5 linked regions of the Oryzias latipes genome follow. The protein of the gene in region 1 purifies or fractionates together with the protein of each later gene. This does not show direct contact. Links are inferred from orthologs where the notes say so. Each region holds a gene or a part of one and is shown in the gene's direction. Other genes may lie near its edges. The genes, in order: kpnb1, dlgap5, rcc1, nusap1 and nup50.

Region 1 (6,267 bases):
AATGCAGCTGCACTGGCTCCCCATCCGCTACCGACTGCATTTAAAATCCTGGTTTTAACATCCACAGCTCTTAATAACCAAACACCGGTCTACAGAAAGACCTTTTGCAGCCGTCCACTCCCAGCAGGTCCCTGAGGTCATGTGACCAGGGTCTGCTGGTGGTTACAGACTAAAGGTGACAGTCTTTGGAGCAGTGGCTCCATCCTCTGGAACTCCCTTCCTCTCAGCCTCAGATCTGCAGACTCAGTGTTTTCTGTAAGAAGCAGCTAAAAACCTCTTTTTAAAATAGCATTTTCTTTCATTTTTTAAATTGACTGTGTTTTATTGTGACGCACTTTGTGATTTTTATCTTAATAGGTGCTATACAAATATTATTATTAGGCAACGATGAAGATGCTGTTGCCGAAGATGAAGACGGCGTCAGTCAGAAACCATGACCTCGGCAGGCGTTTGGGCGCCGTGGAGGACCAACGGGAGCCTGAAACGTGGTTTCATCTCCTCTGGATTATTATGGTCTGCCGAAGCTGACTAGAGCGGCTCCGTCTGCTGCAGGTCTTTGAACCAGCAGCAGATCCAACATCCCTGCAGGTTCTTCACTGGATCCCAGTTGGAATCCAGTTCTATGCGTTTAGGTTCTACATCAAATCTCTTCTTAGGTTCCACAAACCGTCTGGGGCTCTTAGACCTCCGGGTTTAGCTGCTGTCACTCAAACGTTCAGTAACTCTGGAATGTTGTCCCAGGTTCTGCTGCCTCTGCTGAGGACCGATCAAAGCTGCAGAGGGTCTGAGTGATGCTGTCACTGCCTGGCTGGAAGATCCTCCTGACAGGATCCTGAAGTGGATCGGTTGAGATCTTTCTGGAGGGAACTGAGGAGAATCAAAAAACACTAAGCTCTGAAAATAGAGGAAAAGGTTTCAGACAGCTGTGTGATGAAGAGCAACCATCACCAGACGAATCGCATTTCCTGCAAAAACGCCACGGGGAAGCTCTTCCTGTTTGCTGCCGTCCTCCAGCTGCCTGAGATGACGCGGCTGCAGCAACAAGGCGAATCCCACGCCGCTGCTCCTTCAGGACTGGGGGGTCAGCAGCACCTTCTCGTGGAGTGGAGATGGTGCTTCAGCGCCATCCAGAATATTCTTCCCTGAGTTTGAAGATGAAGCAGTCAAAGACCCGTGAAAATGATGTTTGTGGTGTTTTTCTGATGCTGGACTTTGGATCGGCCTTCCTGACCCTTTCTTTATTCAGATCCTTGTGAATCAGGAGCGGATGACAAAACGTCCTTTGATCAAGCTTTGAGCGGTGACATAGAAGCCTCCAGGCTCCGCCCCCTTCTGCAGACCAACAGATCCATGAAGGTCTCAGTTTTCCTGGTCTGAGCCGGAATCTGGATCTGAACTGGACGGATGGATGGATCTGATGTTGCTGCACCGCTAATGCTAGCTTGGGGGTGTGAGGGGCTGTACGCTAGAGGGGGAGAGTATAAACAAAAGGATGATGGGAAATGAGGGCAGGCTTACTCTGCACCAATAGTCCCACCCACAACCCAGAGGTGAATTTCTGATGAACTCCTGGCACTCTGCAGAAACTAAGTCCAAGAAAACGACCCAGATGTTTGGATTTTGGCTAAAAACAGTAACATCATCGTGAAAAGACTTTAGATCAGAAGAGGATTGGAGCGGGACTTTGACATTTCACAGTGACGGTCATGTTTGTCAACCAAACCTCTAGAAGAATGTGTTCAGAGGATTCTTTGTGTTTCATTGTCCTGCAGAAGGTTTGGCTGTAGACTTCATGTTTCTGACCTCTGACCTCTTCCTGTACTCAGCAGAAGATCTTTACCAACAGTAAAATGTTCAATAAAAGCACAAATCCATCGTGCAGTAACGACGCAGCTGTTGTGCTGCAGTGTCAGAAAAACAGCCTTTCTCCGCTACTTCATCCAGAAATCGCCTCCTGAAAGCTCCCACGCCCCCTGAAGGCAGCACGTCGTGTCTTTACGTCAGTGCGTGATATCCTTCCGCGTGGGTGAAACGCGCGGTCCTTTCCCTCCCGACGATTCAGGATGCGGATGGGCGGCTGCGGAGCTTCGACGCGCTGCTGTTTGCCTCGATCGTAAACATTTCCCCGCATCATCCGAGTCAGAAGCACCGAGCGAACACCGGAGAGCTCCCGCCTTTTCCGCAGCGAACCGAGTTCGCCCCGACGGCACCGACTGAGCACCGTGGAAGAAATATAATCCGCTGCGGCGGTGCGCGGCTACAGAACGTGTGAGAGACGAGAGCGGCGGCGGCGGCATGGAGCTCATTACCATCCTGGAAAAAACGGTCTCTCCGGGTAAGCGCCCACTCGCCCGTCCGCTGTTTGGGCTCCGGTTGGCGGTCCGGGTCTGCAGGAAGGACACCGGGCAGATGCTAGCTGGCAGGGCTAACGGTGCTAAGGCTCCGGCCTGAGTCGGGACTCGTCATTCGTGCGTTGCCGGTGCAGTTGGAACCCCGCCACCAGCAGGTAAAGTCCGGTAAATTTGTGGCCCTCAGCGGCGGGGAAGTTTCCGGTTTGCGGTGGCGAGCAGGAGCGCAGGCTGAAGCCGCAGGACCGGTTACCGGAGCGACCCTGCCCATCCATGCCATGCCGGCGCGGCGGCTGCTTTAGCCGTTAGCTTAATGCTAGCAGCCGCTTCCTTCTCGAGCCTCAGCGTCCTCGCGGGAGCGTTCAGCGGGCGCGTTAGGCTGCCAGCACTTGGCTGTTGAAGGCCGGTTCGGCTGGGTTCGGCGGCTGTCTGGAGAACCAAACGGACTCCTAACGAGCGCCTTTAGCAATGCTAGCATGCTAATCTAGCGCGCTTTACCCGTGGTTCAGACGCAGTCCGTGAACGCATCGTGCTCTGTTTTCAGGTCCGCGGCCCACGTGGGCCACTGATTAGGTGATGGCGGAAATGTCCGGGCCGACCCGGCCCGGGCGTCGGTGCGGCTGCAGGCCGGCCGGCGTTGGCTGACCTCTGCCCTCTCTCCGCAGATCGGAATGAGCTGGAGGCGGCGCAGAAGTTTCTGGAGCAGGCGGCGGTGGAGAACCTGGTAAGTTCGGTCTGCGGGGCGGTGCGGGGCGGCCGGGCGAACGGAGCATCCGTGATCAGCTGGCGCACGCGCACTCACTCAGTGAGCTCTGACGTCTCCCCCAAAGACCTGTGTTTCCCCTAAAGTCCAGTAATCCAGAGGAGGTCCGGAACCCCCTTCTTGATGGTCAGACTAGGATCAATCCCACAATGCTTTGCAGTCACGGGAGTGAAGCCATAAGCACTTCTGCTCTCCGTCCTCCGGTCATGCTAACAGATGTGGGTTTACCTGCTAGCATGACGCGGCATCATGTGACCTTTTTGGAACCAGGAAGTCCCGCCTGTGCCGTTACTGTGATGCTCAGACTGTATGTAATGATGCTGCAAAGCATGATGGGAGAGATTTTGGCTGCAGGCAGAGTCTGGACTAGAACCCTGAAGTGGCTTCGGTCTCAGGACCTCCTTTGGGTTTGGGGGCGGGCCTTCAGGTTTTCGTTCCACGGCGGTCCGAGCCTGAAGGCCCCCCGCTGATGTTCTCGTTCTCTCTCTCTCTCTCTCTCCCCCCCCCAGCCCACCTTCCTGGTGGAGCTCTCCAAGGTGTTGGCAAACCCGGGGAACACGCAGGTGGCCCGGGTGGCCGCGGGCCTGCAGGTGAAGAACTCCCTGACCTCCAAAGATCCTGACGTGAAGACGCAGTACCAGCAGAGATGGCTCGCCATCGACGCCAATGCTCGCCGCGAGATCAAGAACTACGTAAGTGCTGCTGAAGGCGGCTGTCTGAGCGGGGGGCGGAGCTTACCGGGTCCGTGTTTCTCCTGCAGGTCCTCCAAACTCTGGGCACAGAGACGTACCGGCCCAGCTCCGCCTCGCAGTGCGTCGCCGGCATCGCCTGCGCTGAGATCCCGGTCAACCAGTGGCCCGAGCTGATCCCTCAGCTGGTGGCCAACGTGACGGACCCGTCCAGCACCGAGCACATGAAGGAGTCCACGCTGGAGGCCATCGGCTACATCTGCCAGGACATTGTGAGTGACGCGTCCCGTCACGTGGGACCTGCCGGGCCCTCTCCAGGTTCTGGAGGGTTCTGGGCCCCTCCCACTGCTGCATGGCCTCATCGATATCAGACGGCGGTTTGTCCTCCATCCTCTGGTTTCTCTACGTTCCCGGTTCCTCAAAGCAGCAGACGCTTCGGTCGTTGCCGTCTGCGTCCCGGTTCGGGTTCGGACCGATCACGTCAGGAACCTTTGGTTCTTGTGGGATCAGAACCCGTCCTTCAGAGTCTCAGCAGGCGGCCCGATCCGTACGTTTGTCAGAACCTCCAGGATCTCGCTGCAGTTTTTTCTTTAGGGTAGATATTTTTCAGGAAGGAAGAAGAAACTTGAATTTAAGCTCCGCCTCCATGAGACGTCAATAAACAGAGCAGAATGTTTCAGCGTGAAAAGTGACATTTAGCCACAAAGTGGAAGTTTGTTTTCAGTTTTTATTCAAATGTGTCTGTTGGTCATTTGAACTTTGACCTCTGAGGTCTGAAATTCAGCTTCAAGCAGAGATTAATGGATGTCTCAGGTATTGATCACGTGGACTAAACGCTCAGATCAATAAAGAGGATCAATCAAACTGCTGAGGTTCTTCAGCTTCGTAGGGTTAAGCCGGTAGAACCAAGTCGGAGAATCGCTGCGTCCAGAACCGGCGCCGCTGCGTCCAGAACCGGCGCCGCTGCGGCCGATTTAAAATGGTGAATCGAGTTTTTCTGGTTTGAAACCTCAGGAAAGGTTCCAACTCACTGGACTTTCTGGGGTTCTTGGGATGTTCTGGCTCACCTTCTGTGTTCCTCCATTTGACTGGAAGCGGGTCAGAACCCGGCAGGTTCTAACGGCTTCCCGTGTGCTCAGGACCCGGAGCAGCTGCAGGAGAACGGAAACCAGATCCTGACCGCCATCATCCAGGGCATGAGGAAGGAGGAGCCCAGCAACAACGTGAAGCTGGCCGCCACCAACGCGCTTCTCAACTCGCTGGAGTTCACCAAGGCCAACTTTGACAAGGAGGTAGGCGGGGCTGGAGGCGGGGCTGGGGGCGGAGTTAGCAGATCGCTGAGCCCTGCCCTCTGTTTCAGACGGAGAGACACTTCATCATGCAGGTGGTGTGCGAGGCCACGCAGTGTCCCGACACCAGAGTGAGTATGCACACGTGCACGCTCCTGAGCGCGCCCCAGCTCCAGGCTGACGCCTCTGTGCTGCGTTCAGGTGCGCGTGGCGGCGCTGCAGAACCTGGTGAAGATCATGTCGCTGTACTACCAGTACATGGAGACGTACATGGGCCCGGCGCTGTTTGCGGTGAGGATGGAGGGGCGTGTCCGGCGGCTCGCCGTCAGCCGGCCCCTCCTCATGCGTCGTCTCCTCCGCAGATCACCATCGAGGCGATGAAGAGCGACATCGATGAGGTGGCTCTGCAGGGCATCGAGTTCTGGTCCAATGTCTGCGACGAGGAGATGGACCTGGCCATCGAAGCCTCGGAGGTGCGTCCGCGGCCCCCCCGCCCGTCCGGCGGCGCTGCGATCCGCCGACTCATGCCGTCTCTTCTCATCCAATCACAGGCCTCTGAGCAGGGCCGCCCCCCCGAGCACACCAGCAAGTTCTATGCCAAAGGAGCGCTGCAGTACCTGGTCCCCATCCTGACCCAAACCCTGACCAAGCAGGTGAGCCGGCCGCCCCGCCCGCAGCCGCCCGGGCGTGCACGTGCAGCTCTGAGTCTGTGTGTGTGCAGGACGAGAACGACGACGACGACGACTGGAACCCCTGCAAAGCGGCGGGCGTGTGCCTGATGCTGCTCGCCACGTGCTGCGAGGACGACGTGGTTCCTCACGTTCTGCCCTTCATCAAGGAGCACATCAAACACCCCGACTGGCGGTACCGCGACGCCTCCGTCATGGCCTTCGGCTCCATCCTGGAGGGACCCGACCTGAACCAGCTGAAGCCCCTGGTCATCCAGGTACGTGGGGGCGGGGGCGGGGCAGCGCCTTCACGCCCTCTGACTGTGTGCTCCGCCTCAGGCCATGCCCACGCTGATCGAGCTGATGAAGGACCCCAGCGTGGTGGTGAGGGACACCACGGCCTGGACGGTGGGGAGGATCTGCGAGCTGCTGCCTGAGGCCGCCATCAACGAAGTTTACCTGGCCCCCCTCCTGCAATGCCTGATCGAGGGGCTGGGGGCGGAGCCAAGG
Region 2 (5,299 bases), on another chromosome or scaffold:
CAGACGCTGCTTTTTGAAGCAGTTAAAAAGCGGTCTGTGGTTTTTTTTTTCCAGCTCAAGGAGTAGTTTGTGTTAAAAGAAAATAAGGTTGCAAATGCATAATTTGTCTTTTCCCTCAGATGTGAGAACAACGAGAGCCAAAGCGGCTCTGAGCTCAGTGGCTCCCTCATCTGGCCACACAAAGAGCAGTAATGGTCAAATCACAGGAGCAGCCCACTTAGTGATTAACCCAATCCACCCCACCCAGGTGAGTACTGCTTTGTCAGAAAATGCCAAAGAAATTACTATTTTGGAATCTACAAAAGGTGTTCCTCTGTTGTTTAGGATGAAAAACTGAATGAGGAAAACATGGAGGAGGCAGAAAACATGGCATCTCCTCCCAGGCAAGCAGGATCTGCGGATGAAGACGACATGCAGGTGGACCGACCGCCCGAGGAATCTGTTCCTGCTGTGGAGGCTGCTCCTCCATCGTTTGCTCCCAGGGATTTTATCTTCCAGGCTCCGACTGGTTTGTCATCCTTCAAGTTTGAGCCCCTCACTCCTCGCTCAGCTGATGCCTTCCTCACTCCAAGGTTGGTTTATGTTCCTCTGGTTCATAGCTTACTGATAAAAACACACGTCTAAATTCTTCACTTTGATTTTTTTTTTTATTTACTTTCCAGCCCAACCTTAATCCTCCCACCGGTTTCGTCGTTCACTCTCCACCCTCAAGCTGAGTTAAGCAAACCGTCTCCCCCTAAAACGTCTCACCAATCTCCACGTGGTACCTCCGCCGCCGTCACTGCTCCGCCTCCCTGCAGCCCCCTGGAGTCGAAGCACGATGTACCATACTTCAGGTAGCGTTTCCTTCTTGTGGTGATCCATCGATCCCCCAACAGTTTGTCTGTTTTAAGCGTTTCCCTCTGTTTGTGAACAATATAGATCGGAAATTGCCAAAGAAACCGTGAGACTCACGACTTTTTGTCACCACTGGGAGCCTAAAGTGGAAGATGAATCCATACCAGAGGAAAGTAAGTGGACTAAACTGACATTTAGTAATAAAAATGTCCCTCTTTATCAGCAACTTTTAATCCGGTGCTTGTTTTTCCTTCTCACCTGACAGTGAGAGATCGCATGCGTACGGCTGTGGGTCAGGCGAGGCTGCTGATGAAAGAGCGTTTTAAGCAGTTCAGCGGCCTCGTAGACGACTGCGATTTGGGCCGAGGGGAGAAGGTCACCACCTGCACTGACCTGCAGGGATTCTGGGATATGGTTTATTACCAGGTTAACGCCTCACCAGACCCCGACACTGTTTCTGAGGGCAGAGAAATGACATTGATTATTTGTAAGTGCGCTTCTGGTGTCTGACAGGTTGAAGACGTCAACAAGAAGTTTGACGCTCTCAAAGAGGCGGAGGGCCGATCCTGGGTGGAGGAATGCAAACCTCCACCTCGACAGAGGAAAACGGTGAAGGTAAAGGCCTCAACGTTGCTTTAAAGACCCACTAGGATCATCGTTTGATGCATTTTAAACGGTATTTTGATCAGGATCATGCCGATTTCAGCCGAGCTAAAAGAAAACCTTAGTCCTTGTCTTTGACATAGTTTCTGCAGAGAGGCAGTAGATCATTAAAAATTAGTCTCCGAGTTGTGGGTGGGACTGTTGGCGCAGAGTAAGCCTACCCTCACTCCCTATCATCCCTTTTTTCCCGCTAGCTTACAGCCCCTCACAACACCAACCTAACATTATTAGCGGGGCAACAAAACGGGCGAGAAATTCCTGAGCCAACCAGCCGTACAGATTAGATCCAGATTCCAGTGAGGTTCGTGGATCTGTTTGTCTGCAGGTGGATGCATCAGAATGGAGTGAAGCAGGGGGCTCAACGATTTTAATAAAGACCTGAGCCTAATTGTCTTTAAATGTGTCCTCCAAGAACATGTTAAAAAATACCTTAAAGACAATTTTCATTGGAGCCGGTCTTTAAGATTTTGACTCAAGTGTTGAACAAACCACTAAACCTACAGCTTCCTTTGACAGAAGCCGTCTGCTGCACCGGCAAAGGCTACAGGAACCAACGCCGCCGCAAAGTCTCGCCTGGCTGCAGTGAAAGCAGCCATGAAAGCCAAACAACAGGCAGCCGAGGCAGAGAAGGCGTCCCAGGACTCCACCAGCGGCGACCTCCCCTCCCAAAAACCGGGCCCTCAAGCTGAGGCCTTGAAGTTGGACGCGGTGGTCTTTGATGGGGGGTTCTTTAAAGTGGAGAGCCCAGCCAAATCATCAAGTGAGGGGGGAAAACCAACTGTTCTCTGCTTCATTTGTTCCTTTTATAAATGTGTTTGTGTGTGTTTTCAGTCAGGAGATCCAGCCGTCTGAGTGCTGCTGTGCTGCCTCTGGCCTCCCCCTGCTCCTCGTATCGCACACCTAGAAGGGCCGCACAGCGGCCCCTTGCTTTGGAGCGCACCCCCATTGGTTCTCGTGCTTCCCCTGTTCAGCTTTCCCGCCCCACCCTTGAGCAAGCTCCAACGCCAAAGTGTCAGCCAGACATCCAGGGAATAGACGGCCCCGCAAACGCCTCTCTCTGCTTCTCACCTGTGAAGGAACTGCCCTCCAGTGAGGAGACATCTGACGGAAGCCCCGCCCAGAAGGCAGGGGGTGCCTCCCCCCCAACCGTTTCTGTAGAAAGGAACTCTGCAGAACCAACTGAAGGGACTCCCCTCTCTGCCGCACACTGCATCCCTTCAAGCAAATCCCCCTCTCCCGCCCCCCATGTTCCTGAGCCGCCATCCGGCCTGAGTTTTGTGCTGTCGCCGTGTGCACCTCTGACCTCTGCTGCTGCTGAAGCCCCACAGGCTGTGTACCAAACGCCAAACAGCTCAGTCGTTGAGGTAAAACTCCAGCTTCAGCTCAGAGTCATTTCATGGCGACGGGACGACTTTCCGTTCATTTAAAAACTTAACTCGTGTTTTTCTTAGGAAGTTCCTGGTTTGGACTTCGACCGTTACTTCCAGCCTTCGCAGAGATGCAGTCTGTCTCCGAGAGAGCCGGTTGCAGAAGAGACTTTGTCTCCCATGGCAACAGATGTAGAGATGGAGGGCCCCAGAGGGCAAGCAGAGGAACTTCCAGGTATGAGTGATGCCCACAGGTACTGAGCTGCCCTGGGTTTCATATCTTAGCACTCATCAGCATCAAACATGGCAGGATGACTGACTCTCTTTTATGAATGAAATCTAATGTCTTAAATCTCCTAACAAACTGTTTCGCCAACATGTTTGTTCCCTCTCGTGGTGTCACAGCACTGTCAGCGGTGTCTTCGGTGTTTTCTCCTCGGTCACCACAGGTTAAAGTCTTTCCACTTTTCCCTTTTTTTTTCATTTATTTGTGTCTTCTACAATATTTTTATTTTTTGTTCCTAAAACAGCCAATGTTGTTTTGTTTTTTTTAGGTGCAGAGTGCAAAGGCTGCCCTGCTGCTCTTCACTCCGGATCTGAAGGACAGAATACGCCAGTCAGTCTGTCCAACTGACCTCATGTCCTTCACCCCTCCTAACTTCTAAACGTTTTTTATCCGTCTTATGATCACTTTTTACAAAACATGTTAAATAAAGTTTTGTTTAAAAAAACAAACCGTCCAGACTGTTAAATTTCCCACTTTACCACCCGAAGAGAAAGATCAGAGGGAGAGCACATCCGAAGAGCTCCTACGGTGGATCTTTTATGTCCACTATTTGATTGTCAAACACCTGCACAGGAGGAGGAGCAAAGGGTTGAGCACCTTGAAGACGCTCACCGTGAAGTTTTTTTTAAATTTATTTTTTGAGATTTTTTTTTTTTTTTTTTTAGGGCTGCACGGTGGCGCAGTGCTTAGCGCTCTTTCTTCACAGCAAGAAGGCCCCCGGTTCAAGTCCCGACTGGGGGACCTGAACCAGAACATCAATGGGGGACCTTCCTGTGTGGAGTTTGCATGTTCTCCCCGTGTATGCGTGGGTTTTCTCCGGGGTCTCCGGCTTCCTCCCACCGTCCAAAAACATGCTTCATAGGTTAATTGGTTAATCTAAATTTTCCCTAGGTGTGAGAGTGAATGGGTGTGTGATTGTGGACATTCTACCCTGTGACAGACTGGCAAACTGTCCAGGGCATCGCCTGCCTTTGCCCACAAGTGGCCAGGATAGGCTCCGTGACCCCAAAAGGGAAAAACAGAATAGAAAATGAAAAAAAAAATTTAATAACCCTGAAGATGGTACGAGCAGCAAGCTTTCATTTTTAATTTGCAGGCAGATTTACGTGAAGCAGTTTGTCTTGCACGGTGTGGAGTGGTTAGCCTATTGCCTCACAGCATGAGGCCCTGGTTCAAGTCCCGACTGGTGGACGTGAAACAGAACACCAACGGCAGACCTTTCTCTGTGGAGTTTACATGTTCTCCCCGTGGTCTGTGGGTTTTCTCCGGCTTCCTCACATGGTCCAAAGACATGCCTCGTAGGTTAATTGGTTACTCTCTAAATTGTGCCTAGGTGTGGGTGTGATTTGTGGCCCTGCTGCCACCCACAGGATAGAATCCTGCAGTCCCGTGACCCCAAAAGGGACTAAATGGGTTTAGAAAATGAATGAGTTCATCTAGTCACCTACCTGGAAAACAGAGGAAAGGTTTGGTTTCTCTACTGGTGAAAATATCTTGAGCTTTATTTCAGGATCTATTCACTGTAAGTTGATACATTTTAAGAATTGTTTTTATTTTTCATCAGGCCTGTTGGAGTCCTGTTGTTACTCCTCGTGTCTCTCAGTCTTCTTTTTCTCGTTGGCGAGCTTATTTTTGGTTTTACTGGTAACTGACAGGTAATGGTTAAACGCCGGAAAGAAAAAGTGGTTAAAAAAGCGATGAAGCGTCTCAAATTTGTGTTGACTGGTCTGCAGGATGAGCCCGTCCTCTTCTGTGGCTTCTAGAAAGAAAACGTGTTAGAAATGCAAAAGCTCTTTCATAAGCGAGCTGAAAGCCACAAACTTGAAGACGTTCGATTGGAAGAGTTTGTACAAAATGACTCAAACCTGTTTGCTGGAGCGTCTCATCTTCTGAGTTAATCAGCTGACTCCTCACAAACTGAGTGGAATCTTCCATCTTAAACGACAGGCGATTTGTTATGAGAGATGTGCCGCCATGATCAACATTCATGTTCCTGAGGGTCTGACCGTTTGGGAATGCTTGCTGTCAGTCTGCGCGTCTGTCTGGAGGGCGTCTGACTCCGACTGTTCGCTCCTGGCCCGTCTCTCAGACGAGAAACGCCCCCGGCTCTCCTCCAGCATATCCGAAACTGGGCATTTGACTTGAG
Region 3 (5,658 bases), on another chromosome or scaffold:
CTTTTTAAATTGGTTAAAGTTTATTTTATTTTATTTAATCTAATCCATACATTTCTCAGACTCTTAATGGGTTTTATTGTATGGCACATGTGTCAAACTCAAGGCCCGCGGGCCAAATGTGGCCCGCCATGTCATTTTGTGGCCCGCGAGAGCAGTTTTTAATTTCTTAAAATAGTTTTTAATTTCTTAAAATTAGGAGGAATCTGACTTGAAGTATTGGATTGGGCAACAATACATTAGTACGGAGCCCGTGTCCTGACATTAAAAAATTAAAATGTCTCGTTCCCACAAATTAATATCTTGGTCGCACGAAATAATATTCCGTTCCCACAAGATAATATTCCGTTCCCTCGAAATAATTAATTCGTGCGAACGCAATTATTATTCACGTCATAAGTCATTCATAAACACAGATATACTCTCCGTCCGGTCGCAAAAGGCACTTTCAGCGGTAAGTTCTGTGTCTCTGTGACCCACATTCGTTCAAGCAAGGAAAAAGAAAAACAAGAATGATCAATTTATAATCGTCTCAATGAATATAAGAAAAATATAAGATTTATGATACCTAGGCTTGCTGCTTTGCCATACGATTCACCGGACCTAGCTCCGTCGCAGAGCTCTTTTGCTTGTCATGCCGGCATTCGGGCAGCTGGCTGGCCGGTAGACAGACATCCAGCTGATATTGTAGTTTAGGGTCGAATATATAGGAATAATAATATTCAGGACTTGTCTTTTATTAACATACTCTTTAGCAGTTGCTTTACATTCGAAGGTTAGTAGGCAACACGCTAACTAACTAGCCGATCATTTATCCTGTTATTTACGTCATAGATTTTCAGCAGAAACCTTCACATTTCTGTCTGTGTGTGTCTTATTACATTGCATTTAAGACACGGAGGATGTTTATAGATCAAATTTATTAAAAGCCGCTTTCTGCCGCTACTTCCGTGTCTCTGTGAGCATTCAATAGGGGTAAAAATAAAAGCAAGGATGAGCAATCTATTATTGTCTCGATGAAAATCAGAAAAATATCCTAAGATTACGCTGGCTGTCAGAGTCATTTCGTTCGCACGAATTAATCATTTCGAGGGAACGAAATATTATCTTGTCGGAACGGAATATTATTTTGTGCGAGCAAGATATTGATCTGTGGGAACGAGACATATTTTAATTTTTTAATGTCAGGACACGGGCTCCGTACATTAGAACTTAAACACTGTCCATAAAACCTAACCTGAGAGGATCAGATTTAAAAGGATTTATGCTAGATTAAAAAGCAAACATGTTTTCTATGCAACTGTAATTGTCACTTTAAAAAGTTATAATAAAGAAATGAGTAATTTAACATTAAGGAGGAGTTGCGTTTATTTTTCATTACATTTAGTTACATGTATAAGTTATGTCTGGCCCTTTGAGGACAACCACTATGCTGATGTGGCCCTCAGTGAAAATGAGTTTGACACCCCTGTTGTATGGTATTGGCTTCTTTCTGCAGTTATTAATTTTTGTGAATTTTCAGCTGTGCTGTTTTTTTAATAGGATAATAATGGTGTAATTGGTCTTCTGGAGCCCATGAAAACATGCCCAGTCCCAGTGAAGATCCCCATCCCAGAACCTGCTGTAAAAATTGCCTCAGGTGAGTAAAACCTCCCGGGAATTTGCTTGAAGTTTTATTTAAAGATTCTAGGCTGATTATGGCCCACAGCGGTCAAGGACTCCAAGGACCATATTGTTTTTGCAACGACTGACAAAAACTATATGGTTTAAAAAACTCAAAGGAAAGGAATAAGCCCCAAAAGACATGACCAGTGTGTAGTAAAACACAAAATACAAAGACACAGTCGGTCCTAACCGCAAAAACTTGTAGATTGTTTCTGCAATACTTATGATTCCGCTTTCTATCTGCGCCTTTGAGCGAAAAATTTGACCCCACCACATACACAAAAAAACTCACCAAAATCTGCACACATTCAAAAAAAAAAAAACTTAGTTTCAGATACAAACGAAAACGCGTCCTAGGGATTTTTATCTATAGTCTCGTAACTTCTCGGCCATCAATGGCAAGCCACTGTGGAAAAATGTCAGAATTGGAGGTTGTAGATTTTGGATGGTTGTACGTGGCAAGTTGCAACTGTTGCGATCTTAGCTAGCTCGCACATTTCTTATTGGGGTGTCGTAAAAATTCAATATGCATTTCCCTGGCCCAAGCTGAATAAAACGATGCAACATTCTAGATGACAATGTTAAAATAGTGGGTGTGGTAAACAAAAAATGTCGCAAAAAATTGTGCTGAATCAGCTAAATAAATTTTCTTTCTAAATGGAAATCTACTTACGAAACCAATATACCTTTGTCTGGGATATCCAATGAAAGAAGTTATGAAATAGTTATGAAATACTTATGGAATGGCGACACACCTATGGTTTGTTGGCCATTTTGTGCCAAAATTGGAGATTTGGCGTAGTGGAGTTTTGTCAACATTTGACCTCGGGAAGAGGCCGCCACCTTTAATTAAAAGCAGTTATGGAAAAGATGTTGCAATTAGAAGTTGTACATTTTTAACGGTGTGCGAGTGGTGAGCTAGCTAAAGTGGCATTCTCTTATTACTCGCACATGTTTAAATGGAAAACTGTGAACATTTAATGCATGTATCCATGACTAGAACTGAACAAATTAATATAACATTGGATACAAACATATAAGTAATGTGGGTGTGGTACCAAAACAAAATGATTGCTATAAAGATAAAACTAACAGAAAAGCCGCCGTTTTGAAGAAAGTGGATTTTCTATCAACTTACCACATGTGGCTCTTACCAGTATTAGCATCTGAAGTAAGGCGTTTTTCTGAGTCAGTTGATGATGCTGATAGTATTGCTAGCACTTTTATCCACATGCAGCTCAGACAGCCTATCAGAAAGACAAGTGAGAGTTAGATGTGCGTCGTGACTGCTAAGCAAGCAAGTTCGTTTCAAAGATGGGTGGTGAGAGCGGCGGTGGTGCCTATACCCCTGCGGCGTTGATACATAGAGGCTGATGGCAAGGGCTGGTAGTGCCTGTGGGCTGTACAACACCACTTGCGCCTTGAATTTTTTTTTGTAAAGTGCAAGTAGAGCTGTCCAAAGTGCTCACTTTGTGTCAGTGCATTTGAGCACAAGTCCCTTTACACCAAAACAAATGGAACATTCAAATAAATATAAGCAGAAGTGACTGCTATGAAAACATTAAGTGTACATCATCTTGTTATAAACTAGTTCAAACTGTCTTTGTCAGATGTTTGTCTCCTTGTTGTCTTCACGGATGCTCTGACAGGAAACGACCACTTGGTGTTAGTGACACGGGATGGGAATCTTTACACATCAGGCTGTGCAGAGCAGGGGCAGCTGGGAAGAGTGCCTGAGCATTTTTCAAACAGAGGTGGTAGAAAAGGTCTTGGTAGGTGAAGTTGTTACAACAGCAAAACACTAAACAATATTGTGGTTAAATCTTACCCATGTCATTTTTTTACTCTACCTTGCTGTGGTTTTTAGAGCGACTCCTGGTGCCGCAGATGGTGAAGCTGAAGGGGAAAGTTCACTTTATAGATGCTTTCTGTGGAGCTTACTTTACCTTTGCTGTGTCACAAGAAGGACACGTTTATGGATTTGGCCTCTCAAACTATCACCAACTGGGTAAGTTTGACTCATAAGAGTTTATCCTTAACTCCTTAACTCACTGTGTGGGAATCAACACTTCCCATGAGTCTTAGTGGCCATGGGCGGGGCTAAGCCCCAGGTCCCCACAACATATCGCCCAGCCCTAGCTCCAGCATTCTGCGCACCCACGTGAATAACAAGGAGGGGGGTCAGGCGCTGAGCACAAGCCAATGTGTGTTCTCAGCTCCTGCGCCCAGCGGGAGTAATAAGGAGGGGGGTCAGGCGCGGCGCGCAAGTGAGTCTGTGAGCGCGCATTCAGTTTGTGTTACACAGTTAGGGAGAACAGTAAAAAGGTTTCCTCAAAAAGAACAGAGACTGGTTCTTTTATTAACCCACTCTGGAGGCACTGAGGGCCTGAACGTGCCCGGGCCTTAACACCTGGTGCACCCGGCGTTCGTGAAAATACGGTAGTGATGGCGTGAACTGGAATATGCTTGTTAATTCTTGTCAAACTTATAAAAGCAACAGGGAACATTTGGTTGAACTCCAAGGTTTCATTTGATTATTTCTGAATTATTTGCCCAGGCACCAAAAGCACCAAGATGTGTTTTGTTCCTGTAAAACTGACGTGCTTCAAGAACTCCACCACTACCTGGGTGGACTTTTCTGGAGGACAACATCATACGCTGTGTCTTGACTCTGAAGGTAAACAACACATGAATCCAAATGTATTTGATATTCTACAGAATTTAGCATTTTATCTTCTGAAAAGCTTTTGATGAAGTAGATATTTTTAAAGAGCCTATATCATGCAAAATAAACTTTATTTTTTAGCTTTTAGGGGTATTATAATGTTAACTCTTAACAAAATATAACCCAAGCGGTACATCCATTCATGCATTTCTGAGTATTCCTGGAAAACCCTGGAAAAGTTTTGGAAATTGAAAATGCTAGGTCTTTGAAAAGTTTGTGAAAAACAAAATATTCTGCAAAGTTTTAGTAAAGTCATGAAATTTTAATATTTGGATGCAAAAAACATACAAAATTAAATAGTTTTACACGAGATTCGAATTTGGAAGAAAGTGGAAGTAGTTTAACTTCATGCTGTCGGGATGGGAAATTTTCGTCAACTCGGCGCATGACCCTTTCAGCTTGCTATCGTGAAATGCTACGAAATATGCCAGTGTAGGTAGCTCTGCAGCAGCAGAGCTACGTCCGGATGCTCTTTGTGGATTACAGTTCTGCTTTCAACACAATAATCCCGGACAGACTCTGTGACAAACTGCTCACTCTTGGCCTCCCACCCCTCACATGCAATTGGATTAACAACTTCCCCATCACCCGCACACTGAGCATCGGCGCCCCACAGGGCTGTGTGCTAAGCCCCCTGCTGTACTGCCTCTACACTTACAACTGCAGGCCATCCCACAACAACAACTGCATCATCAAGTTTGCCGACGACACCACAGTGGTCGGACTCATTCCCAGGGGGGATGAGTCTGCCTACAGAGAGGAGGTCCTGAAGTTGACAACCTGGTCCACAGTGAACAACCTCACCCTGAACACCAGCAAAACCAGGGAGATCATTGTCGAGTTCAAGAAACATGGCGCAGACCCAACCCCCTTCCTTATTAATGGGGAGCACGTGGAGAGGGTCCACACCTTCAAGTTCCTCGGTATCATCATCTCTGCCGACCTCTCCTGGACAGCCAACACCACTGCCATCATCAAAAAGGCTCAGCAGTGTCTGAGGGTCCTCAGGAAGACCAACATCAGCACCAACCTGCTGCTGACCTTCTACCAGTCATCCATCCAGAGCCTGCTTACTTACTGCATAACTGTTTGGTTCAGCAGCTGCACGGCCGCGGATAAAAAGAGACTTCAGAGAGTCGTAGAGACGGCTCAGAAAATCATTGGACGCCGTCTCCCCATCTACTCTGCGCGCTGCATCACTAGGGCTCATAACATTATCACGGACTGTTCACACCCCGGCTCAGATCTGTTCAACCTGCTGTCCTCTGGGA
Region 4 (6,123 bases), on another chromosome or scaffold:
GGGTCTTTAACCCTTGTGTTATCCTATGCACTTTAACGTTGGGAGTGCTAGACAGTGCTCTGGACCTTTTTTCTTCAATGATTTGTGATCTTCACTGGTGTCCATGGATTACATGAAGTCTTTCCACCTTTATCCACCTTTGTCATGGTAGGGAGAACACGTCGATGGAAGGGGGGGGGGGGTCATCTAAGATAGCACAAGGGTTAAAGAAAGAAAATCCTGTTTGACTCAAAGGAAAACTCAAACAGAGAAATGAAGAAGTCCTTTTAACTTAAGCCCGACTGGAACTGCCTGCTAAAGTACGGCAAACCAGAAGAGAATCCAGGTGAGAAGAACAGAAAAAAAATGAATATTTTTAGGGAGGATTTGGGGAAAAACATCAAATCTTCAAAAAAAAAACATTCAGTCTGAATAACTTCACACATCTGATGGATGAACTCAAACTGGAAATCATTAACTTTATTGAAAAAAAAGAACATTAAGATCACCTGGACCGAGGTCAGGTATGAACCGGGTAATTATCAAACACAAAGACAAACAACTTTAGGATTTAAGGCAACCTTTAGTGTAATCTGGGGTTCAGAGCCGATTCTCTGCCAACCCTAATCTACCTTTAAACCAAAAACTGACCCACAAACTTTAAAGGCATCTCCAGCTCCACAGACGACTACCTCCTCTTCTTGTTCCTGATAATACTCATGTCAGCCAATCTGCTCTTCAGGATCGACATCTTCTCCAAGTGAGCTTCAAAATGTTGCTTCACCTGTGAACAAAAGGCAGCAGGTGAGCTCTGAAGGAGAAAGTTCTGACGACATGATCCCAGGAGTCAACCGTCCAACAGCAATCTCTGTTTGGATGTTGCTCTGGCGCCCCCTGCAGGACAGATCTGTGTCTACAGCTCCCATTTACTGAGAAAGAACACACACGTGATCCTCCCCGAAGCTCTCACCTCTGCCAGTCTTTCACTCACAGGCTGCAGATCAAATGAGAGTCCAGAGGCCTTCACCATGGAGCTGCTGTTCAGGATGTAACTGCAGAAGAAAATAGTTTTTTTCTGAGTGCTTCTCATCTCAGTGTTCTCATCTCTACCATTGAAAAGGGAGAAAGTCTCAGCTCTGATTTACTCCTTTATTCATGAAAGAGCGGATCAGGGAAAATTCACCAACTGATGCTGGATTTGTCCAGGAGGAAGAGGGAGCGAACTGGAGCCAGGCTCGGTGGGCTCGAGTGGAGAATCTTCCCCACGTCGAGGTGGCAGTGACTGCATTTAAGAGGACTGGAGATGCTGAGGAACAAACCAGTGGAGATCAGGGAGGGTTTCAACATTCAGAGGAGACAGATTATGTCCTGTATTTATCATCTTTATCAGGTTCTACCTTAAAATCTACTCACCAGTTTGTCATTTCTCCTTTATCTTTGGACATTACAGCATCTCCAACCACAACATCGTCTGTAACTTCTGAGGAAAGAAAAGCAGAAATAAAATTTGTATTTCTTTTATAAATGTATTCATAGTAAAGAACAATTTAGTAAAAAAAAAAAAAAAAAAAACAACGGGGGGGGGGGGGTTACAAAAGTAAATAACAACAACATCCCCTTAATTCTGTAAAGCTGAGACCTATTTTAACAGGTTATTATAGCTTTTTTGTTGGTAAATGGGAGAAAACATCGTCTATGGCTGATTAGAGCAACAAGACATTTGAACATTTGTTACTAAATTACATTTTGTTAATATAATATTTGGTAATAAACTCAGGGGATTCATCAGAAAATGCTGATTTTTTATTTTCTTAATTTAATATTTTTTATTTTTATGAAGGACAGTTGGTCAAAAATATTTAGTGTAGTTAAAACAAAATTACTTTTGTTATCGCGTGCTTTAATTGCCTAAAAGCGTCTTCGGTGGCAAAAACTTGCTTTAATTTAAAAAATAAATTCTACTTTTACTGTTGTCAAACCCGACGGATCAATAAAGCTTTGAATTTAACTTTATTGATACCACAGTGGAGACATTTACCTGTCATGGAAGATCTCCCCCCAAAACAGTAACAACTTACAAATCACAGATCACCAAATAGCCAGGCAAACAAGTAAGTAAATAAATAAATAAATTGGTAATTTAACTATATTTTCCCTTTAACACACAGTTCTAACAAATTACTCGCTTGCTAGTTAATATTCTGCCGTGAACGTCTGTGTGACCAAAACAAAGGAGACAAACCTACTTAAGAGAATGACCGAGTCCAGACTCTGCAGTTCACCACAAACATCCAGGGAATCCGCCAGGACGGTGTAGCAGTGCTGGCAGTGGAAGGTCATCAGATGTCTGTCGTCTGCCGCTGTCCCAGGCTTCGCTTCGTCGCTGCGTTTATTTAAAATGCTTTTCTCAAACTCCATTTTTAGCGGGTTTCCCAGACGCGCGTGCCACGCCGAGCAGTTACGAACTTTTATCTATAAACGTTTTTTTTCCCTGTAAGAATTTTTGATTCAAATTCAATTTTCAAAATCTAAAATAAAACAGATTTTTGTGAAGCTTTTCTGTCTTTATATTATTAAAATATTTTTTTTAAACGGAAAGGCATCGACACGCTTTGCTCTGATTGGTTGTGACCATTTCCGGTCAAACTGAGAGCCAATCATAGCCCTCCTCTTGTCCCGTTTCAAATCTGGTTTTAACCGTCAGCCGCGGACGCCTCGCGCAGAATTCAATCTGACTGTGGATAAAAACGGGATTCTTTTTCTGGATTTACTCCTTGTCAGGATGGATTTGGACTCCATGAAATATGCCGATCTGCGAAGTCTCGCTAAACAGCTCGGACTGAAAGCAAACATGAAGGCAAGATCAACATTTAGCTTCATAACTTTATCCTGAACGAAAAATTATTACGGGATATGGCAACTACTAACGAAGGGCGCTGTTACTGTAGTTTGTCTAATACGTGACTTGTGTTAACATAATTTGTCTCAATACAGGCAAACAAACTCCTGAAGGCTGTAAAACAGCACTACAAGCAGCAGGAGGCGGCGGGGGGGAAGGTAACCGGCACTCGTAAACACATCGCTGCTTTAGCCTGAACTGCAGTTTTGTATGAAGGCTTGTTTGTGTCGTGGACAGGATGATCGCGTCAGTCATGCCGATCAGGATGCAGTCAAAGAAACCTCCAGCCCACGCGTGTTTGTCAACGCGCGTCGGGGGAGAGGACGCAGGGACTCGGGGAAGACCACCAGCGGGGCTGCGGTGACCCCAAAGGCTGCACGGGTACACGCAAATACGACGTCACGTGACTTTTGGAGTTATTTAAAAAAAAACTTTATATGCAAACTTATGACAAAACAGGCAATAAGATTGTCTTCATTAACAATGACTTTGTAAGTAGTACACATAACTGAGGGAAAACATTTTACAAAATCATGCCATCAATAAACAATAACTCATTTATACTCACACATTTGTAAACAGACATCCCAGAATAAATCAAAATTGCTGAGGATGTCCAGTAGATTTGCACCTTTGTTATGCATACATTTTAAAGCATTAAGATAATTTGCTTGCAAATGTTTTTTTTGAATAAAATGAAATTAGGCCATACTTTTTTCCATTTTGAGGTATGAATAAGAGAACTAAGATTAACAGACGATTGTTGATCCCAAAGATCATTTTGTCCAAAGTGAGCTGGATTTTTAGCTGGAATCTATGAGGTTTTTGGAGGTTTGGTCCTCTAAAACCTCTAATGGGTTTTCTTTTCTTACCAGGCTGATGCTGAACCTGAAGCCTCATCCTCCAAGACCAGGAGAGCTTCAAAGAGACGAGCGTCCTCTGAGCAGAACTCACCTGAGCCTCAGGAGGAGCTGCAGCCTGACGCCTGCGTGGAAGCACCTGCACGCGTGGAGACAGGTGTGCACTAGTGGGGTTTATGCTCTCCGCTTCTTAACTGGGGTACCTTTTATTCATGAAAACCACTGTGTCCAGAACCAGAGCCAAAACCCAAAGTGAGCAAAGCTGGAAAGATCCCTCGCTATCGTGGATCTCAGCAGAAGGCTGCGCTCAAACCGCTCACTCCAAGTAAGTTTTTCTTTCTTTATTTCACGGCCGTGCTGATGACGCACAGATAAACACGCTCATCTCCTGATGGTGAGGAGTCAGAAAGCAGATTTTTAAACTGAATTTTAGACAGGAAGTCATGAATGCAGAGAAGCTCTATGGCTCAACAGGACGACCCCGAGCTTTTAGTTGACGTTCTGAAGACAAGAAATCGATCATTTCTCCAAATAGTGAGATATCAGGGTGTTTATTCTGACTCTGGGCTGATTTATATTCCATATTTTAAAAAAAGAATCTAGAGTAGAATTTCATCAACATAAAACGTTGCATGACTTTGCCAGCATGGAGGAGGTGCTGATGTTCTTACTTCCACCTAAACAGATTATTGTAACGTCCTGCTCCCTGAAAGAACATCTCAAACCGCAGATTTCTATTTCTCTCCTCGTTTGTTTCATTATGTTGGGTGCACAGTTTTGTCTGTTTTCTAATTTTGTTCATTTATTTTTCTTTGTGAAGGTCTTTGGTTTTTGAAAACAGTTTCCATCATGTGAGTCTGATTCGTTCCCCTTCATCATTTAAATGTCTTTCATCCAGATTTCAAAAAGCTCCACGAGGCTCATTTTAAGAAGATGGAGTCCATCGACACCTACGTTGAGCGTAAGAAGAGGAAGGTGGACACCCTCAAGAATCCTGTCAAAGAGCTGAAGGTATTGGAAACAGCCATGCTTTTATTCTGAAAGCTGGAAATGCACTTGGGTCTGACACATGCCCCCCCCCCCCAGGAGGATGCTGGTCTGTTCCCGGTGACCTCTACAGGGGGTCGGGGTCAGCCTGGAGGGTTCCTGTTCAGGACATGTTTTGCTCCATTAGGGAGGCATCCCAGTGCAAATCTTCTAACCACTCAGTCAGATCCTCTGTGAGGTTTAGTATGGGGGTGGAAGAAAAAATCGATTCGACAAAATATCACGATAGTTCATTTGGTGATACTTGTACCGATTCAAAATGCTGCCAGGACAATATTTCTCTCAAATCAAACAGATCCTTTGGTTTCTGTGTTTCATCCTATGCTGGAGGTGGAAGCCAGAAGAAGTCCAGACATCAGATGAAACTTTGGCTTCTTTCCTTTCATATCAAACCACCACAACCTGATTGTTCGGTGGTGAACATCAGCTGAACTCCAGAGCTTTCTGAGACCACCAGACTTCAGCCACAGTTCTGCTTTTTTGCTTGTTTCCAGCAGAGCAAAAATGCAGCCGGCTCCAGCATGTTCAGCCCTCCGTCAGGGAAAAAGCCGGCTGAGGAAAAGAGCAGACACACTTTGCTTTCAGCCAGCAAAGCTCCGTCCAGCAGACCTGCAGGAAGCGCTGCTCCCTTCAGACCGTCTGTGCTCTCCACTCGCAGGATCAACGTTCGGTGAGTCCTCCCTCAAGTCAGTCCGGTTCTTCCTTCAGATCTTCTGGACAATGTCTCTGGCGTCCCGTCTGCAGGTTTTCAGAAGCTACTCGCGACAACGAGTTTAAAGGGTCTCTGCTGAAGACGCCGGCACGGATGTCGCTCTGCCTGGTTTCCTCCACTCCGCAGGCGGCGGCGGGGGCGGGGCCTCACACCGGGAGACCTTCCACGTTCTCCGCTCAGAAAACTCCAAGTACGTTTACGTCTTCCTCACGGCCGTGTTCTCGTGCAGAACGCTGGGTATTCATGTCGTCTTTGCCCTCCTTCAAAGGGACTTTTGTTTTTAACGGAAACACCTCACTCACACCCGGAACGCAGAAGAAGGCGACCTTTGACCTCAAAGCCAGTCTGGCGCGGCCGCTCACGTACAAGCCTCACGCAGGTAAAGAAAAGGCTGCAGAGCCGACGCGCTTGTGGTCAACTCCGTCATCACCGAAACATCTTTTCTCAGGGAAACTGAAGCCGTTTGCTGAAGTCAAAGAAAACGCAGCAGCAAACAAATCCCTGAACTCCCACCAGGAAAGCTACAAACAACACAAAGTTCAGACCAGGTACGTGGCATCGACCTCCTCTGGGGCCGCATTGTCCTCCCCCTGCCGCCTCTCCAAGGGTCTGCTGCTCTGTTGCAG
Region 5 (6,095 bases), on another chromosome or scaffold:
CTGGGTCTATGTGGAAATGAAATTACAAACTTTAGACCAGAGTTTAGTGGAAAAAGGCCATAAACAGCATCTTCAGGGCGTTCTTATCTACATCAATAGATGGGTAGAATGTATGGATTCATTTAAAGGACATTTCTCTCACTTCATTGGTTAACAGATCTTTTCCCGCTCTAAGTGGTAAACTAGATTATTCCAATAAGGAACTATATAGGGAATGGACACAAAATGCTCCATATCCTCCTGAGACCCGGCCCAGTCATTTATGTCCTCTATAATGGACATTTTGTTTACCTGTATATTTTTAAGGAATTAAGAGATACCTTTCCAAATCCTACTCTACACTGTAGAGGACACCGGGACCATTTCAATGTATTTAATGGCTGCACAATGCACATAATGTTTGGAGAAAAAAGGGAAGCAGAGAGGATTCTGCGCCAGATAGTCGGAGAAGATTCAGATTTGGAGCTTTCAGATGATGAAAAGGATGAGATTCAGGAAAAAATAACTTGTTTTTATAATTAACTTGATTTTTTTTTTTGTTTTTTTTAAACGTCCATCATAACAGGTTTACACCTGTGCTAGCAGGGCGCCCTGCCTATCAAGATGACCCCAAAGTTTGTGAATACCGGAGTTCAATCCTGTACTTTTCACAGTACATTGATAACATTTTTGAAGATCTGTTTTTGATCTAGTTTTGTTCCAACTACCGGGGAATCACACTCCTCAGCCTCCCTGGGAAAGTCTATGCCAGGGTACTGGGGAGGAGAGTCCGTCCCATAGTCGAACCTCAGATCCAGGAACAACAGTTCGGTTTCCGTCCTGGTCGTGGAACAGTGGAGCAGCTCTACACCCTAACCTAGGGTGCTGGAGGGATTGCGGGAGTTCACTCATCCAGTCCATATGTGTTATGTGGATTTGGAGAAGCTGTTCGACCGCGTCCCCCATATCCTGTGGAGGGTGGTCTGGGATTATGGGGTCCGGGGAGCCTTACTGAGGGGTGTCCGGTCTCTGCATGACCGGAGCAAGAGCTTGGTTCGCATAGCCGGCAGTGAGTCAAACCTGTTCCCGGTGCATGTTGGACTCTGGCAGGTCTGCTCTTTATCACCGGTTCTGTTCATAGTTTTTATGGACAGAATTTCTAGGGCACAGCCAGGGGCTGGAGGGGGTCTGGTTTGGAGACCACAGGATTTCCTCTCTGCTTTTTGCAGATGATGTTGTCCTGTTGGCTTCATCGAACCGGGACCTCCAGCATGCATTGGGGGGGGATTGCGGCCGAGTGTGAAGCGGCTGGGATGAGGGTCAGCAACGCTAAATCTGAGGCCATGGTTCTTAACCGAAGAAAGGTAGTTTGCCGTCTCTCGGTGGGTAGAGTGTCCCTGCCCCAGGTGGAGAAGTTTAAATATCTTGGGGTCTTGTCCATGAGCGGGGGAAGACCGGAGCGTGAGATTGACAGGTGGATCGGAGCAGCGTCCGTTGTGGTGAGGAGAGAGCTGAGCCAGAAAGCAAAGCTCTCAATTTACCGGTCGATCTTCCTCTGTAGCAGAAGGTCCAACAAGTAACAATAAAGTGATATAGAGTTTTATTGTTTTAGAACAAAATTTAATGTTTTTTGGGTGAGTATCACTCTAAAGATTTAATCTGCTCCTTTTTTCTGATTTTCCTACCCGAGTTCTATTTTCACAGAAATGTTGTCCTGTTGTCCTCTACAGTGGACGTGTTGGGAAATTAAAATAAAAAATATTTTTTTAAAAATTAAAATTGTAAGGTGTTTTTTTAAGCCCAAATAGAAAGGAAATCACACAAAAACAAAAATTGGAAGACACTTTTTTTCCTCGGTTCTCAGGAGGATAAAAACGAGATAAATAAATACTCTACCCGACTACAAATCCCAGCTATAGGCTCTTTACTCTGCGCATGAGCAGAGAGGTGGGGCGCGTGCACCCACGCGGATGTACCGTTGTGCAAAATGGCCGCGTGAGGAAGCTTTTTCAAAATCACTGAGTGAGTCAAGATTTGAAGGCGATCGAGAATCTGCGGTTCTGGTCGGTCTGTAGAACCGAGACCGGGCGGAAAGTCGCTCACAGACAGAGTTCGGGTCTCGGGTGACCGAGACCAAAGACCGCCACTGAGCGCTAGCCGTGACGTCAGGAGCTGTCGCGCGGCCCGGTTAGCTTCTCAGCGGGAAACGGTTAAGCGACGGAACGGGTTCCGGTCCGGTTTGGAGACTTCGGCCAAAGGTAACCAGCACGGTGAGTAAACCAAATATCCTGCCTCTATAACTGTAACCGGTTAAAGTAACGGGAGCGGCCAGCGGCAAAGCGAAGTGAGGCAATCCAACCGGAGGAACCGAACAGAAGAACCGCCCGGATTTTGTTACCATAGTGACACCACAAAACCCGCCAGACTGTGAGGATTCGGACCGAACCCGAAGCTCAGCAGGAAGTCGCTCCAGAATCTGGACCGTTGCAGAACCACCTGGTGGATGATCCGGTCGGAAAATGAAAACCGGATCTCATGAGTAGACTGATTATCTGAAGATCCGTTTTCATGTTCTGGTCCGAAACTGGGTTGTTGATATGACCGCCCGCGTGGTGGTACCTGACTTGGTTCTTCCTGGCCTGGTATCTGCTTAACCTGGTTCCTTGTCTGGTACCTGGTCTGGTACCTGGTCCCTGGTCTTGTTCCTGGCCTTGTCTGGTTCCTGGCCTGGTCCCTGGTCTGGTACCTGGTCACTGGCCTGGTACCTGGTCTGGTACCTGGTTCCTGGCCTGATACCTGCTTAGCCTGGTTCCTTGTCTGGTACCTGGTCTGGTACCTGGTCCCTGGTCTTGTTCCTGGCCTGATACCTGCTTAGCCTAGTTCCTTGTCTGGTACCTGGTCCCTGGCCTGGTTCCTGGTCTTGTTCCTGGCCTGATACCTGCTTAGCCTGGTTCCTTGTCTGGTACTTGGTCTGGTACCTGGTCTGGTACCTGGTCCCTGGTCTTGTTCCTGGCCTGATACCTGCTTAGCCTGGTTCCTTGTCTGGTACTTGGTCTGGTACCTGTCCCTGGCCTGGTTCCTGGTCTTGTTCCTGGCCTGATACCTGCTTAGCCTGGTACCTGGTCCCTTGTCTGGTACCTGGTCACTGGCCTGGTCCCTGGTCTGGTACCTGGCCTGGTTCCTGGTCTTTTTCCTGGCCTGGTGGCTGCTTAACTTGGTCCCTGGTCTGATACCTGCTTAGCCTGGTTCCTTGTCTGGTACCTGGTCTAGTACCTGGTCCCTGGCCTGGTTCCTGGCCTGGTAGCTGCTTAACTTGGTCCCTGGTCTGATACCTGCTTAGCCTGGTTCCTTGTCTGGTACCTGGTTCCTGGCCTGATGCCTGCTTAGCCTGGTTCCTTGGTCCCTGGTCTTGTTCCTGGCCTGATACCTGGTTAGCGTGGTTCCTTGTCTGGTACCTGGTCCCTGGCCTGGTTCCTGGCCTGAAATCTGCTTAGCCTGGTTCCTTGTCTGTTACCTGGTCTGGTCCCTGGTCTTGTTCCTGGCCTGATACCTGCTTAGCCTGGTTCCTTGTCTGGTACTTGGTCTGGTACCTGTCCCTGGCCTGGTTCCTGGTCTTGTTCCTGGCCTGATACCTGCTTAGCCTGGTTCCTTGTCTGGTACCTGGTCCCTGGCCTGGTTCCTGGTCTTGTTCCTGGCCTGAAACCTGCTTAGCCTGGTTCCTTGTCTGTTACCTGGTCTGGTCCCTGGCCTGGTTCCTGGTCTTGTTCCTGGCCTGATACCTGCTTAGCCTGGTTCCTTGTCTGGTACCTGGTTCCTGGTCTTGTTCCTGGCCTGATACCTGCTTAGCCTGGTTCCTTGTCTGGTACCTGGTTCCTGGTCTTGTTCCTGGCCTGATACCTGCTTAGCCTGGTTCCTTGTCTGGTACCTGGTCTGGTACCTGTCCCTGGCCTGGTTCCTGGCCTGGTACCTGGTCCCTGGTCTTGTTCCTGGCCTGATACCTGCTTAGCCTGGTTCCTTGTCTGGTACCTGGTCTGGTACCTGTCCCTGGCCTGGTTCCTGGCCTGGTACCTGGCCTGCTACTCGCTGTGCCAAAGATCTGTAATGTTATGCAAACCAAACCAAAGATGCAGTATAGTCAGCCCAGGGTCAGTTTCTCTGAAGCCCCGCCCACATTCAGGTATTGTGCGAGGGTCTGCATTCTGATCAAACATCCGCGCTGCCTTCACAGACTCCCGGGCGTTTGTGTTCTGACGCTGCTGCGATGGCCAAAAGGATCGCGGACAAAGAACTGACTGACAGGAACTGGGATCAGGAGGAGGAGGGGGAGGAGGTGAGTGGGGGAGGAGGGGGGTGAGGAGGGTGATGGATGTTCTGGTCTGTAACGCCGCCGCTGCTCTTCTGCAGGCCGGGACCTTCTGCCTGGCCAGCGAGGACGTGTTGAAGAGTCGGCCCATCAAGAAGGCCAAACGCAGAAATGTGGGCTCAGAGGTCAGAACCGGGCCTCCTGACGAGCCGGTCCTTCTGAACTGGATCTGACTCTGTTTTTTTCTACCTCCAGGCTGATGTGGGAGGAGCTTTCAAAGGCTTCAGGGGCTTTGCGTTCTCTGCGTCAGCCTCCACCAAGCCCACCGCCCCTGGCTTTGGTAACGCAGAAGGATTTAAAGGTTTCAGCGGCGCGACCAATGGGAGTGCTCCTGCGTTCAGGGGTTTCTCCGCCCTCCCAGCATCCTCTGCTGCGGCGAGTAAGAGGCGGGATTACAAGCATCGTCTGAGGATTAGCCCCTCCCACTGTGTCATGAATCCTCTTGTCTTCCTCTCAGGTGTGACGTTTAATGGAGGCTCCTCCTCTTCAAAGCTGCCTGCCGACAGCAGCCCCAGTCAGGCCAATGGCTCCGCCCCCGGCGCGGCCCCGACCTGCAGCAGAAGTAGGGAGTACAGCCGGCAGCTGGCGGCGCTCAACCGCTCGGTGCGCGACTGGATCAGCAAACATGTGGACGACAACCCCCTGTGCGACCTCAACCCCATCTTCAGGGACTACGAGCGCCACCTGGCCAGCATCGAGCGGAAGTTCGGCGGGGGGCGGGACAACTCTGAGGAGACGCCAGCCCCCACGGAGCCCCCCCCTCCTCCATCGTCTGGCGGTGCCACAGCGCCTCCCTCAGCTGCTCTGTTCTCCTTCAGCAGGGACTCCTCAGCAGACCGCCGTCTCACAGGCGCCAGCTTTGACCCCGCCCCCGCCGGCATCACCTTCAACTTCGGGCAGAAGGTGGACGGCTCGGTCCTGAACTCGTTGGGGTCCAAACCCCTCGGCCCCGCCTTCTCTTTCACCCCTTCTTCATCCAGCGCCTCCTCCAGCCAGACGCCCCTGTTTGGAGCCGCCTCCTCTTCAGCCCCTCTGCCTTTTGGCGGAACAAAGACAGAGGAAACCCCGCCCACAGGTGAGCAGAAGCCCCGCCCATCCACGAAGAGACAAATGGCCTCTGCTTCTGTTCCCGCTTTCCTTCACGGTTTCTGTCCGCAGATGAAACCGGAGAAGCAGAGTCGGAGGAGCCTCCCAAACCGGAGGTGAAGGAGGTGAAGGAGGACGACGCCTTTTACTCCAAGAAGTACGCTACCGAGGGCCCGGTTCTGCTGCTTTACATCCCGATGACCTCACCCGCAGATTCTGTACTGGAGTCTGGTACCTTTATTTTGAAATGTAACAGGAAGTGGCGTCTGTTGCCTTCAGGTGTAAACTCTTCTATAAGAAGGAGTCGGAGTTCAAGGAGAAGGGCGTGGGAACGCTGCACCTGAAGCGGACCGGCGAGGGGAAGACCCAGATGATCATCCGGGCCGACACCAACCTGGGTAAGAACCGTTTGTTCTGATGGACGGGGAGGTCACCCGCTCAGGCGGCGCCTCCCGCTCAGGCGGCGCCTCCCGCTCAGGCGGCGCCTCCCGCTCAGGCGGCGCCTCCCGCTCAGGCGGCGCCTCCCGCTCTGGCATGAGGCAGTAAACGTTGTGTCGCCCGTCAGGTAACATCCTGCTCAACGTCATGGTGCACGTGTCCATGCCCTGCACGCGTGTGGGGAAGAACAACGTGATGGTGGTGTCCGTGCCCAACCCCCCCATAGATG

What was found.
Region 2: the proteins of kpnb1 (region 1) and dlgap5 purify together in Homo sapiens (affinity purification with mass spectrometry; 4 studies listed by BioGRID and IntAct, with this or other methods). This does not show direct contact. The link is inferred for Oryzias latipes from reciprocal best matches to the Homo sapiens genes KPNB1 and DLGAP5.
Region 3: the proteins of kpnb1 (region 1) and rcc1 purify together in Homo sapiens (affinity purification with mass spectrometry; 3 studies listed by BioGRID and IntAct, counting the BioPlex papers as one, with this or other methods). This does not show direct contact. The link is inferred for Oryzias latipes from reciprocal best matches to the Homo sapiens genes KPNB1 and RCC1.
Region 4: the proteins of kpnb1 (region 1) and nusap1 purify together in Homo sapiens (affinity purification with mass spectrometry; 3 studies listed by BioGRID and IntAct, counting the BioPlex papers as one, with this or other methods). This does not show direct contact. The link is inferred for Oryzias latipes from reciprocal best matches to the Homo sapiens genes KPNB1 and NUSAP1.
Region 5: the proteins of kpnb1 (region 1) and nup50 purify together in Homo sapiens (affinity purification with mass spectrometry; 4 studies listed by BioGRID and IntAct, counting the BioPlex papers as one, with this or other methods). This does not show direct contact. The link is inferred for Oryzias latipes from reciprocal best matches to the Homo sapiens genes KPNB1 and NUP50.

What each region holds. Positions count from the first base shown.
Region 1 is NC_019866.2:172,740-179,006, reverse strand, and holds the start of kpnb1 (importin subunit beta-1), read left to right. Parts: upstream 1-2,007; 5' UTR 2,008-2,295; coding exon 2,296-2,335; intron 2,336-3,013; coding exon 3,014-3,072; intron 3,073-3,620; coding exon 3,621-3,803; intron 3,804-3,871; coding exon 3,872-4,072; intron 4,073-4,939; coding exon 4,940-5,092; intron 5,093-5,160; coding exon 5,161-5,220; intron 5,221-5,290; coding exon 5,291-5,380; intron 5,381-5,451; coding exon 5,452-5,562; intron 5,563-5,640; coding exon 5,641-5,742; intron 5,743-5,810; coding exon 5,811-6,035; intron 6,036-6,096; coding exon 6,097-6,267.
Region 2 is NC_019877.2:3,670,626-3,675,924, forward strand, and holds the end of dlgap5 (disks large-associated protein 5), read left to right. Parts: intron 1-119; coding exon 120-247; intron 248-324; coding exon 325-572; intron 573-662; coding exon 663-836; intron 837-921; coding exon 922-1,010; intron 1,011-1,102; coding exon 1,103-1,263; intron 1,264-1,350; coding exon 1,351-1,452; intron 1,453-2,016; coding exon 2,017-2,260; intron 2,261-2,331; coding exon 2,332-2,864; intron 2,865-2,951; coding exon 2,952-3,102; intron 3,103-3,272; coding exon 3,273-3,316; intron 3,317-3,421; coding exon 3,422-3,532; 3' UTR 3,533-3,597; downstream 3,598-5,299. Other genes in the region: radial spoke head 10 homolog B, read right to left, coding at 4,737-4,912, 5,019-5,088, 5,160-5,299. UniProt on the Homo sapiens protein: Potential cell cycle regulator that may play a role in carcinogenesis of cancer cells. Mitotic phosphoprotein regulated by the ubiquitin-proteasome pathway.
Region 3 is NC_019874.2:65,738-71,395, reverse strand, and holds part of rcc1 (regulator of chromosome condensation), read left to right. Parts: intron 1-1,539; coding exon 1,540-1,636; intron 1,637-3,311; coding exon 3,312-3,434; intron 3,435-3,529; coding exon 3,530-3,670; intron 3,671-4,219; coding exon 4,220-4,339; intron 4,340-5,658. UniProt on the Homo sapiens protein: Guanine-nucleotide releasing factor that promotes the exchange of Ran-bound GDP by GTP, and thereby plays an important role in RAN-mediated functions in nuclear import and mitosis.
Region 4 is NC_019880.2:1,751,417-1,757,539, forward strand, and holds the start of nusap1 (nucleolar and spindle-associated protein 1), read left to right. Parts: upstream 1-1,999; 5' UTR 2,000-2,090; intron 2,091-2,225; coding exon of another isoform or gene 2,226-2,397; exon of another isoform or gene 2,398-2,617; intron 2,618-2,668; exon of another isoform or gene 2,669-2,760; 5' UTR 2,761-2,761; coding exon 2,762-2,836; intron 2,837-2,973; coding exon 2,974-3,036; intron 3,037-3,115; coding exon 3,116-3,259; intron 3,260-3,753; coding exon 3,754-3,895; intron 3,896-3,970; coding exon 3,971-4,063; intron 4,064-4,636; coding exon 4,637-4,749; intron 4,750-5,279; coding exon 5,280-5,455; intron 5,456-5,529; coding exon 5,530-5,687; intron 5,688-5,765; coding exon 5,766-5,876; intron 5,877-5,945; coding exon 5,946-6,045; intron 6,046-6,123. Other genes in the region: oip5 (protein Mis18-beta), read right to left, coding at 668-763, 950-1,031, 1,163-1,285, 1,393-1,459, 2,226-2,397. UniProt on the Homo sapiens protein: Microtubule-associated protein with the capacity to bundle and stabilize microtubules. May associate with chromosomes and promote the organization of mitotic spindle microtubules around them.
Region 5 is NC_019881.2:23,771,459-23,777,553, reverse strand, and holds the start of nup50 (nuclear pore complex protein Nup50), read left to right. Parts: upstream 1-1,831; 5' UTR 1,832-2,237; exon of another isoform or gene 2,238-3,727; intron 3,728-3,786; exon of another isoform or gene 3,787-4,207; 5' UTR 4,208-4,240; coding exon 4,241-4,309; intron 4,310-4,383; coding exon 4,384-4,467; intron 4,468-4,537; coding exon 4,538-4,721; intron 4,722-4,799; coding exon 4,800-5,417; intron 5,418-5,500; coding exon 5,501-5,585; intron 5,586-5,707; coding exon 5,708-5,826; intron 5,827-5,993; coding exon 5,994-6,095. UniProt on the Homo sapiens protein: Component of the nuclear pore complex that has a direct role in nuclear protein import. Actively displaces NLSs from importin-alpha, and facilitates disassembly of the importin-alpha:beta-cargo complex and importin recycling.